Bombyx mori: one gene and its partner. The protein of the gene in region 1 purifies or fractionates together with the protein of each later gene. This does not show direct contact. Links are inferred from orthologs where the notes say so. Each region holds a gene or a part of one and is shown in the gene's direction. Other genes may lie near its edges.

Evidence for each region.
Region 2: the proteins of protein crumbs (region 1) and patj homolog purify together in Drosophila melanogaster (affinity purification with western blotting; 7 studies listed by BioGRID, with this or other methods). This does not show direct contact. The link is inferred for Bombyx mori from reciprocal best matches to the Drosophila melanogaster genes crb and Patj.

What each region holds. Positions count from the first base shown.
Region 1 is NC_085121.1:445,352-451,757, forward strand, and holds part of protein crumbs, read left to right. Parts: coding exon 1-34; intron 35-110; coding exon 111-304; intron 305-1,810; coding exon 1,811-1,932; intron 1,933-2,013; coding exon 2,014-2,152; intron 2,153-6,059; coding exon 6,060-6,159; intron 6,160-6,406.
Region 2 is NC_085111.1:10,378,268-10,384,673, forward strand, and holds part of patj homolog, read left to right. Parts: intron 1-2,727; coding exon 2,728-2,884; intron 2,885-2,992; coding exon 2,993-3,159; intron 3,160-3,418; coding exon 3,419-3,548; intron 3,549-3,742; coding exon 3,743-3,855; intron 3,856-4,532; coding exon 4,533-4,669; intron 4,670-5,372; coding exon 5,373-5,515; intron 5,516-5,612; coding exon 5,613-5,690; intron 5,691-6,210; coding exon 6,211-6,406. UniProt on the Drosophila melanogaster protein: Involved in cell polarity establishment. Probably participates in the assembly, positioning and maintenance of adherens junctions via its interaction with the SAC complex.

The sequences.
Region 1 (6,406 bases):
GCTGCGAGTGCCCGCCCGGCTTCGAGGGGCAGCTGTGAGTGTCGCGCCAGTGCACCCCCCGCACGTCGCATGTGTGTCCAGTAGCATGACCAGTGTGTCGCGGCCCGCAGGTGCGAGAGCGACATCGACGAGTGCACGTCGTCCCCGTGCGCCAACGGCGGCACGTGCGTGGACGCGCCCGGCGGCTACACGTGCACGTGCTCGCCGCAGTGGCGCGGGGACACGTGTCGCGAGCCACGCGCCCGCACATGCGCACACTCCCCCTGCGCCCCCGGCGCCGCGCGCTGCACGGACGACCCCCCCGGTGAGGCCCTCCACGCTACACTGCACTACACGCATATTATGTATTATGTGACTAGACTAAATTAAAACTACATCAACTTGTATATGCGTACGTATATTTATTACGATGCAAAAAATCATAATTTAAACTTCACTGTGGATTGAGGACCTCTTCTTCTTAATTTGATACTGAAGAAAGAGGTCGAGAAGAAGGGGAGAAGTTGAAAAAAATTTCAATTCGATCTTGCTAAGGTAATTAACGTTATATATCAGACGCACCCCAGTTCGATAAAGCGGCACGACACGAGAACCCTCTCATCGTGGCCGCCGGTAACTACATTCCCGATCCTGCGGACAGAATGGAAAGCAGTCGACGTCGCCCAAAACACGTCATCTCGGATCCTCCCGATCCACTAACGGTGCTTCTAGGTACTTCAAGCACCGGTCACCGTTCTCGTCGAACTCGTCACTTGCGACGAAGGGCTCAACGAGTAAATTAACCCTCGGACACAGCCCACTGAGTTTCTCGCCGGATCTTCTCAGTGGGTCGCGATTCCGATCCGGTGGTAGCTTCTGCGAAGCACGGCTCTTGCTAGAGTTCATGTTAGCAACGTCGTCAGGTTTGAGCCCCGCGAGTACCTACTATAGTAGAATTATTTTGTCCGTGCAGTTTGGGTCATAAAACATAACCCGGCTAGGGCGGTGACCATGTTGCGCGGGCGCAAAGCCATTATCGATAAAAACAAATGAGTTATCGAAGGCTGGTACACAGCGGCGGGGTGGTATACGAAGGGTGGTGAGATATTGTTAGGTTATGAGTCACCTGCAAATTATAGTACATTATGTCGAAAAGAAATGTGTTTTTATGCATTCGTTATCTGAATTTCTTTAGTGACCCAATAGCTACTCCTTTGTTTTGTATCAAAACGGCAGAATTTATTCAAAATAATATTTGCACGTGTTGTTATCAACAATGTGTTAAAAAATTTCACTGAAATAAGAATAGTTCTCGAAAAGTTACAAAGTGTTAATTTTTGCCGTTCTCGTTAACTTGCTGCGGCGATATGTGGTGTAAGTGTTCGATTAGTGTTTTTTTTTTCATTTTTATCACTAACCCACCAAATGACAAAATTAAATACACTATCGATAACGCTTATCGACAACAATAATGCGCATCACTATGCCCGTCCATAAGGCTTGTGAGTGGAAGAGAGAGCGAAATACTCGCTGCACTGCTCCGATTTTTTATGACCCAAACTGCACGGACAAAATAACTCTACTATAGTTAAGGTTACGCTGAAATAGCCTCTCAAGGCTATCAGCTTAGGAAAAAAAAAGTCAGACGCATACATCTGCAGGTCGCGCGGTGCCCGATAGCGGCTCCTCTTCCTTCTTCATCTTCTATCTCTACTCAAATCCATACGTCGATTAAAGTTTTATCTTTAAAAAGGGACGTTTTTGTTGCATTATGAAAAGTCACAGAAGTGAAGTTAACTGAAATAATATTTTATGATTTGGTTGTTTCCAGATCCTCCGACCGGGAACAAGTTCACGTGCGAGTGCCGGGAGGGCTACGAGGGCGTGTACTGCGAGAAGCCGTTCTGCGAGGTGACGCCGTGCGTGCACGGGGAGTGCCGCGCCGACGCGCAGGTGGGGGGGGGGGCGCCGTGACGTATGAGCTCTGTCGAGCGCCTGTCGACATGCCATGGTTACCAGTGGGTGTGGTTGCAGGGCGTGCAGTGCGCGTGCGCGCCGGGCTGGACGGGCGCGCGCTGCTCGGAGGAGCGCGACGAGTGCGTGGGCCACTGCCAGCACGGCGGCCGCTGCTACCGGGACTCCGAGCACTTCCTCTGCGACTGCACCGCCACCGGTAACTGCACGCGCCCGCACGCACGCACATATACACACACACACGCACATATACACACACACGCACATATACACACACACACGCACATATACACACACACACGCACATGTACACACACACACGCACATATACACACACACACGCACATATACACACACACCCACATATACACACACGCACATATAAACACACACACACACATATATACACACACACCCACATATACACCCACACACACACACGCACGCACATATACACACCCACACCCACATATACATACACACACCCACATATGCACCCACACACACACGAACACACACACGCACGCACATACACATACATACACATACACACACACCCACATATACACCCACCCACACACACACGCACGCACGCACACACACTCACACGCACACACGCACGCACATATACACACACACACACCCACACGCACGCACACACACACACACACACACACACGCACGCACATATACACACCCACACCCACATATACATACACACACCCACATATGCACCCACACACACACGAACACACACACGCACGCACATACAGATACATACACATACACACACACCCACATATACACCCACCCACACACACACGCACGCACGCACACACACTCACACGCACACACGCACGCACATATACACCCACCCACACACACACGCACGCACGCACACACACTCACACGCACATACACATACATACACATACACACACACCCACATATACACCCACCCACACACACACGCACGCACGCACACACACTCACACGCACACACGCACGCACATATACACACACACACACCCACACGCACGCACACACACACACACACACACACACGCACGCACATATACACACCCACACCCACATATACATACACACACCCACATATGCACCCACACACACACGAACACACACACGCACGCACATACACATACATACACATACACACACACCCACATATACACCCACCCACACACACACGCACGCACGCACACACACTCACACGCACACACGCACGCACATATACACACACACACACCCACACGCACGCACACACACACACACACACACACGCACGCACGCACGCACGCACACACGCACGACCCGTCTCCCCCTACCGACGAACGGAACGTGTCCTAGTGTCGCGGCAGAAGTAGGCAGGGCCGTGGTCATGTAGACATTTCTTTTAAAAATGAGGAAGAGATCAGGCAACTCCGGGATCGAACCTGGACACGTCTCCGGGCGTACGGTCGCCTTATCTAATGTTGTTTACTTCCATGAATATTTAAACATACAGAATATTTTCTTTCATAAATATATTGGTTAATAAATATATTTACAGTTTGGTAATCAATATTTGAGGAATAAATACATTTTGATTTCATCAAATAAAGAAACCTGCTCATAGTTGTAGGTTTATCATTATACTGATCGATAAGGCGGCAGTTATCGCTGGCGGCCGCGCGCGGCTGATAGCAGCTGATAAACTGATAACGTTAACCACAAGCTCTCAAAGTTTTGCTCAAATAGAAATTCGCTCCAATAAAGGACCCACAAATTATTATCGGTTCCAATTTAGTTGTAATATATTTATTTCCTGGTCGGGTCGAGGAGGAAAACTAAGACGTTGCGAGGACGCGCGTAGTCACAATACATATTATATTACATATGTTGGTGATTCCGATACATGATATCGACGCTTGGAAGGCAAACGTGGCAAGCGACAATAACTACTTTGTACATAAATTATAGGCAATAACTATATTTGATGCGCAAAAAAAACATGCTTCTAGGTCTATTAAAATCATTTCAAGCCTATAGCTAGGTCCGTTAAAATATTTTTTTTTCAGGTATTTCAACTTTAAATTAGTCTACTGTAAAGTTCACGCATTGTCGCTTAGTCACGTTTGCCTTTCAAGCGTCGATATAAATAACATATATTAATGAAATAATTCCAAAGTTAAAATATGTAATATTATTCAAACCAAAGTAACACTTCCCATAGTACAAGAATATTTCAAAATGACATATTTCTTAATCATTAATAAATTTAGTATTCTATTTTATTAGGATGTTTATAGCGGGCTTTATATTCCAATAAAACACCTTAGATATATGTTAATATCTTTCCTAAACTAGTTCAAACTGTAGTTACGGCCGTCACGCGACAGAGAAGTCTAGATCTTACTCAATCCCATTGCAAAGGGAGAGGCCTTGCGCACTCGGATTAAATCAGTCTATTACCAGCTCTGATCACGAAGTAACGGAGCTCGCCATAGGAACTAGAGGGGCTCTGCTGCTGCCGTGACCACGTCACAAGTACGACAACTGGATATTAGACGATTGCGCCCCCCCGCGCTACCCACCCGTGTCCTCCGTAGCAGCCCCCCCCCCCGACGCCCCCCGCGCCCCCCGCCCGCGTGCGCACTTTGGGAGCCGCCAGCTCCGCGTCACCGTTGCCCGCGTCAGTTTGGTAAAGTGTGACACAACACTCTGACCTCTTAACACATATTTCCTGCTGCAAAAAGCGCTTGTACTCAATAAGTTTCGGAATTTTAGATTGTGACATCTAAAGAATTAATTATTGGATGAATTGGGATTAGGAGTGAAAAATGGTTTTGATAAATAAATTTGTTTCGTGATGTCAAATCAAAAATAATAATGACTACTGAAAATTTAAAAAGTACTTACAAATAAGTGTTAGATTTAGTAATGTTTTTAATAAAATCGAAATAAGGTTTGTGAGTGATGCGAATAATTGTGCAATGAACGTGCTATACGTGATGGAGAGGATAGTTGTCTTCGTGTTTGTGGCAGGTACGGACCCGCTCGGATTTGTACTGCGCTCCGCTATCTCATTACCTTAGCGTTAAAACATGAGCAAGCATCCGCGTCCACCCCGTGGACACGGTAACGAGCCGGCGCCGCCCGACTTGAGGCATGAGGTCGAACTAGAAATGCGCGTCTTGACTCATATTTTGAGTCTCACGAAAAACATAACGTTTTAGTCGATGAAAAAAATTAAAATTAAAACCTTGTCAAACATACAAGTTAATCTGGTTGCGCTTCAACAGAGTCCGACTTAACTGACTGGAGTGAACTGTAATTATACAGGGTGTGATAATTTAATGTATTAATGTTACGTTGGTCTGCGATCACATGTCTATTTGTAATTATCACGATTTTGTTGTTTTATCGGTGATAATTACAACTCATTATCGTTGCACTCGAACTTGTAAAATTAAGTAAAACAATACACAAAAGTCTCTAGAGTAACAAAAAATAATGCAGTTTGAGTGGGGTAAATAATTAGAATTAATAAAAAAGGGTCGCCGAGCCATGACGAACCGGACGCCTACCACCGCTGACATATCTACTGACAATAGTAAACGCCAAATTAAATCTTAAAAGTAGTTTACATGTTATTAGCCGATTTTTTATCTGTTCATGGAGAAATTCGTTTTGTTTATAGAGTTATGTTCAGGTGAGCATTCAAACAATGTCCTCCCAGACCCCCGGTCGTGGACCCTTCAGCTCGTTCATATATATCGACATTTTTATCATTACAAAAATCAGACTTTCCAACAGAGTTATTTTATTTACTCCGACTACTCCCCCGTGGAATATTATTTTTGGATATTTAATCCTTCGATAGTAGATTAGGGCCTCCCCCTGCTATGGGGAAACCCGCTTTACTCGTGGAGGAATTGTCTGTGAGGGTCCCATTATTGGCTGTTTTTTTGTTTACGGACGTATCACCGGCCGCCGGACCCACTGCGCCTACCCATCGTGCGTTTCCAGGGGTAATTTTTGGCACGCACCATCCGGCTTTAGAGTTAGTGATGTAATTTTATTCTGACGGAGGATATTGTGATCAGGCTGGACGGGCGCGCGCTGCGAGGTGGACGTGGACGAGTGTGCCGAGGGACTGGTCAGCTGCGGGCCCGGGGACTGCCGCAACCTCAACGGGTCCTACACGTGAGTAACCACATAATATACCCTAGTTGTTTGTTGTCTTCTGAAATCAGTTCAACCTTAGATCTGCGCGATCTCCCACCCGCTGTACTACCATCAACTGTTTATTTTCATAGATAATCTTTTTACTGAGCCGTAGATGGGAAGGTGTATAAAAAAATGGAAAATATGACATCAAAAATGACTTCGTCACAACGTAATTTTGAAGGTCCAGTGGGGGTGCGGGGGTAGAGGACGGGGCGGGGTACTT
Region 2 (6,406 bases), on another chromosome or scaffold:
ACGTCCAAACCTCGCATGAGACAGAACTCATGACAAGGCAAAGGGGGGAAAGTGAAGCGTTTAGTGCGGAGCACATCTCTCCCATCACCCTCCCCCTCGGGACGCCGGACTGGCGGTCGTCGGCGCCACGACCACCAGCCCTCTCGGTCGGCAGACTGTCCGAAGCCCGCCTAGATGGCGCCGGTTAGAGTGGGTTACCCTACGGAATACCCCGCTGGGCCAGAACCAGCGTGGGTCGAGGATAGCCGGCCTTCCATCACCCGGATGCTCTTGCGTAAAACGCGTGCAGAGCAGCTTGCACGTCGTCTTCTTAGGCCCCCCTCGCCGGTCCCCAGACCGACATGTGAGGGGGACCCGAAACACTTAGAGGGCCAGGGCTTGGGCGAGATCCGCCTCCCTGGCCCCCGCTCGACGGCGGCGGGATTGTGCGTCTCTCACGCGCCCCGCCGCCTCCTTCTGCGAGATGGTGCACTCGCAGAAGTCGAGCATCGCCTTCCAAGACTCGTCGTCGCCGAGCATCGATGCCACAACACTCGGCAACGACAAGTCGGTTCCTATTTTTGCGACGAGGACACGGCGCCACCCCTCCCATGCGGGGCAGGCGACGAGCGTATGCTCTGCCGTGTCCAAGTCGCAACCACAATGGTGGCACTCTGCCGTCGGCTCGGCTGTGATCCGGTGCAGGAACTCATCGAAACAACCATGCCCAGTGAGCACCTGCGTAAGCCGGAAAGTGAGGCGTCCTCTGTCACGATTCACCCAATCCACAAGGACCGGGCGAATCGCCTCGACGGTCCTACGACCAGCCGAAGGATCAGCCAGCCGTCTGGACCATGACTCCAGCACGGACCGCCGAGATTGGGCCCTCCGTGCTCTGACCACACTGGGGCTGGGACGCGCCACGCCCCGGGCACGAAGTTCAGCCCGCCACCTATAGTCAGCGGCGAGCGCCTCCGCTTCCAGAACCCAAGGCGGCGTCCCAGCCAGTACACACGCCGCCTCAAAGGAGATGGTGCGATAACCACGGATGACCCTGACCGCGATGGTGCGTTGCGGCCGTTGCAGCAGCTTCGCCACCCCCACGGCCAGGGACTGGCCTCACACGGGCGCCCCGTATAGGGCCATTGATCGCACCACCCCCGTATAGAGACGGCGCGTCACCTGGTCAGGCCCCCCGACGTTGGGCAGAAGCCGGCTTAGCGCGCCGGCCACCCCCAACAAACGAGGGACCAGGTTCTGAAAGTGAGCACGGAAGGGAATTATAACCTTAGCTAAAAAAATTTTATTTGTTTTTTTTTCAAGTCACAGACAACTCTTTCGTTTGGCAGCATATAGGTTTACTATAAGGCTGTATGGGCTAAGCCCTTTGCCTATTGGCGGATTTAAAAACTATGTCACTAAGTTTTGGGATGTTATCAAATAAGTAATTTATTTTTTTGTAAAACAATGCCAGGTTGAACGAAATGTTGATACATAAACTAAACAACGTGAAAAAATAAGGCATAGTTTTTCAAGTACAAATAGTTTTGACGTAAAGTTGGCCCACTTTTGGGTATTGTCCTTTTCGATGCGTTCGTTCCCAAACATTTGCCATCATACAAAGTTATTATATTATATTAAATTAATTAAGGAGCAATATAAGGAGCAACAATATATTGTGTTCTAAAATCATTACGTTCAATATGTGGTCCACCTAGGTCCTGGAACTAGCTTAGGGGGGGGTCATGACCCCCATGACCACCCCCCTGGATCCGCCCTTGGCTAATCATTGTTGTGCTTGTGACCATTGTTGAAATGATTTATTTAATATAAACAAAGACCCAAGGTTGATTAACATAAAGCATTAATTTGTTTCAGAGTGATTTTTTTTTACATTCGCAAAGATTCGATATGAAAAAGCAGCTAAACTAGGATTATTTTTAAAAATTATATTTACGAAAAATTATAGATTATACTTATAGATTATAGTTCAGATTACTGATTGTAGATAATCTAACAGACTTTAAAGCTCTTAACTTGCCTGTATTTTACATATACTTGATTCCTGCAAAATTTCTCTTTTAATTGAATTCTCTGAAAATTCTCTTTTTATTTGATAGGAAAATTTCTCAGATTTTCTAACAAGAATTTTGGCTTGAGTAATTTTTTATTAAAATTTTTGAAGTTATTCTTTTAGTTCTTTGAATTTTTGGTTTCTAAATCTTTTATTTGCTAATGATTAGTGCAAGAAAAAATATATTAAGTATTGTATTTTTATTTGGTAAGATGCATCAAAACTGCCTCCTTCAGGGCTACATAGTATGATCATTGAAGAACCTTAGACCATTAAAATTTATAAAAAACATACTTAAACATTTACATTTGTAGTCCTATTGTGATATTAATGAACCTGTGTTTTTTGGAAAAAAAGGCTTAATTTTAATTACAGATTTTAAATAAAAAATATTAACTACCCTTCATACCTATGTACAGCTTGTGGTTGGGTAATTATTTATTTGACCACAAATAACATCTCGCAATATAATGAAGTTAAGCTCACCAAAGTTATGGAAGCTTTGTATGAAAATTATTAAAAGCACGTAGTTGCCTTTTTCCTTAACTGTTCAGTTCCCTATTATGTAGCCTCATGTCTAATATTCTTTGATATATTTAATTATTCTTTTGGTATTATAAAAGTTTAAAAATAATAGACACAAATATGTAATATATTTTCATTGCAAATTTTAGGCTGCAACCAGTGATGATTTGAACATGCTAATAAGTTTATTAGAGAGTCCCATATTACGAAGTATTACTACACTTCATGACTCTGTGGGCATGCTTGCAACTCAGGTTGCACATCACCCATCAATTTTACCTGGAGATTTTGATATTACTCCTGCTGGTAAGTTTTTAACCAAAAAAATATCCTGATTAAAATATTGCCCATTTTTTGTATATGGAACTTATTATACCTAACCAATTTTCCTACATAACTATATTTGCTCTAAAGGTGACTTGGCATTACAAACAAGAAATTTGTATGGAAATCAAGAGGGTGAAGAGGAGCAAAGGGTGCCACAGGTCTCACCTCCACATAGTATGGAGTTTGGATCTGATAATGAACATATTCTTGGACTTGATAGTGGCTCTGTTGACTCTAACATGTCTCCTAAACAAGTATGTAAAGATTAAATTGTTATTTATGCTATGTTTTACAAAAGTCACATGTTTTTCTAATTCTACAAATATTCTTAAAATGTGAATATGGTTTTCCAAGTTTTTATGATTTTCCAAGTTTTTACGAACTTACCACGGGACCAGTTAACGTGGCGTGATTGTTAGTAAATATTTATTATTATTACTTTTTCTAAAATGTACTAAACAGAGCATGAGAGCATTATGATTCACAATAAATTCATTTCAATTTGTTTTTCAGAGTCGTGGCTTATTAGATTTGTCTCGTAATGATGATTCTTTAGCATCTACCAATCACAACGTAGTAGCAGGGGACTGGGCACAAGTTGAAATTATAAATCTTGTAAATGATGGAACTGGCCTTGGATTTGGTGAGCATTAGTTATGTTCAAAACTTATTCGACCGAGAGATTAATGAGTGCCTTGAAATGTATTTTTGTTGTTAATAACATTCAAGTTAATTTTTTAATAATAATTACTACCATGCATCAAATTCAATTTTGTTATACTTAATGAAATTGAGGAGATTTTTTATGCCGCTCACAATTCATTTAATTTTACACAGGTATTATAGGTGCTAGAACAAGTGGTGTCATTGTAAAGACGATACTAGCAGGTGGTGTAGCTGATCGCGATGGCCGACTAAAATCTGGAGATCACATTCTACAGATTGGAGATGTAAATACTCAAAACAAAAGAACATTAGTACATTTAAAAAAAATAACTAAGGAAAAAATATTTGCCTAAGTTGTTTAAACTATATATGTAGTATAAATTACTTTTACAGTTTAATTTTGGGTTTATTATTTCCAACGTATGGACTTATGTACAATTTTCATGGTCATTTTGGAATAAACCGTAAAAGTCGTTCTAATAATCTCTATGACTCTTGAAAATGAAAGAAAACAAAGCAATGGTTTAGTTTGAAGAGGTTTGGTGTTACAAACAGTTGAAAGTATCTACTTATGTTGTATTTTACTATCTTTTGCACACACCATTCGCTTTACTAAAAGTTTAATATTGGTTGGGCGATTGGTGAGCCGGCACGGGTAGGTAACCACTCCGCCTATTTCTGCCGCGAAGCAGTAATTCGTTCAGATTTGAAGGATGTCACATGACACAACCATTGTATGATACAAGTAAGACTTGGACCATAATAATATGTCTCGAGGTGTGGGCTTTTTTTTTATATTGCTTAGATGGGTGGACGATCTCACAGTCCACCTGGTATTAAGTAGTTACTGGAGCACATATACATCTACAACGTAAATGGCATTCACGTAATAATGTCTACGGGTTCCAGTATCCACTTAATATCAACAATCCATTAAAATGCATTCGAATTATCCGCTCAGGTAAGCCTTATGGAGATGGGTTCCGAGCAAGTAGCTGGTGTGCTACGTGCGTCCGGTAGTCGTGTGAGGCTCGTCGTGGCGCGAGCAGTGGATCCGGCGGCCTTGCATGCGTCACCCGCTCCCGTCGTGCCTGCCAGGTACTTCGTTATACCACACTTGTACCACATTGTACGTTTTAATTCTGATATTGTGTGCATCGGAAAAATAAAACAAGAAGCAATAAACCTGAAGTCTTTCACTCTATGCCTGTCTCTTTTTTTTATAAAAAAGCTGTGTCAAAGACAAACAGTGGTCAGCGCCACCTGTGTATACCAGCCATACCGGGGCCTTAGTGAATTCATGTCTACTTTAACTCACCGAGCCGTATAGACAGTTTTGGAAGACGTGTTTCATACTCGATACATTTTCTAATGTATTACTGTTATAGTGTAAATTTTAGCTCTATGACATGTCTTTCTTCGAACCAGGCTGGAGAAGAGTACTCGTTGGCAGCGGTTTGACTGTGCCCCTGGCATTGAACGATGATACCCACTCACATAAAATCAAACCCGCAAATTTTAATTTGAGTAATGACTGGTGGTAGGAACTCTTGTGAGTCCGCGCGGGTAGTGAAGCGGTAATGCGTTTCGGTTTGAAGGGTGGGGCAGCCGTTGTAACTATACTTGAGACCTTAGAACTTATATCTCAAGGTGGGTGGCGCATTTACGTCGTAGATATCTATGGGCTCCAGTAACCACTTAACACCAGGTGGGCTGTGAGCTCGTTCACTAATCTAAGCAATAAAAAATAAAAAAGGGGGGCCGTGTGCCTACAAGGGTAATAATAATAAAATAATTTCAGGCTTTTGTCAGACCCCGAATCGCTGGATCGCTATCTCATGGAAGCTGGTTTTGAGCAAGTGTTCCATACGCAGCCTGTGCCTGTCAGCTCCACTTCGACGAGATTTGTATTTGACAATCCCATAACACCCCCTCCAGATTCAGGTAAATTGCACACGTACAATAAGTTCGAACATAATCGATTACATAGAATATCGAATATAATAGATGTTTATTGAAGAACTAAATAATACTCCCACAGATGCTGAATCACCAGAAGTTGATAGATTCACAGTTCAACTGAAGAAAGACGAGAACGGCTTAGGGATTACTATTGCAGGTAATGGCGATTCTTTTACTTTTTTTTTCCATGAAATATTATGAGGTGTTCCAGGAAACGGTGGGATCCGACTGAGACTTCAGGAGAACAAAATAAACACTATTAACAAAATAAAAACGGTTAATAAAAATTTGCTTACGATGTTACCGCCAATAAGTTAGATTTTTGAACTTGGTACATCGATGGGAAGTCACGGTTTACTCGTTAAGCTCCTAGCGCCCATAGATATAACAACATGAACGCTAATATTCGGTGGCAAAGCTATGAACTCGGATTAGACTAATAATGGCATATTACAGAGTAATCAAAATTATTAAAAATTAAACTAGTACATAACCATTATGATATATGTTTAATATATAACTAATAGGATTGTACGAATGCTGTTTTTGATGGTATTAAATAATTATAAAATATTACCCATGAACTTCGGAACAACAAACTTGATGCAACCTTTAAATGCCTATATTTAATTCATCACATCATCACATCACAATTGTATTGGTTGTTCATGGACCAGGTTATGTTTGCGAAAAGGAGGAGCTGTCAGGTATATTTGTGAAGTCGGTGACTCCGGGGAGCGCTGCAGCGTTGAGCGGAATGGTGAGGGTCAATGACCGCATCGTTGCCGTCGATGGCGTCTCCCTCGCAGGGAAATCCAACCAGCGCGCTGTGGACGCCCTGAAACAGAGTCGCAACGTTGTCACGCTAGAACT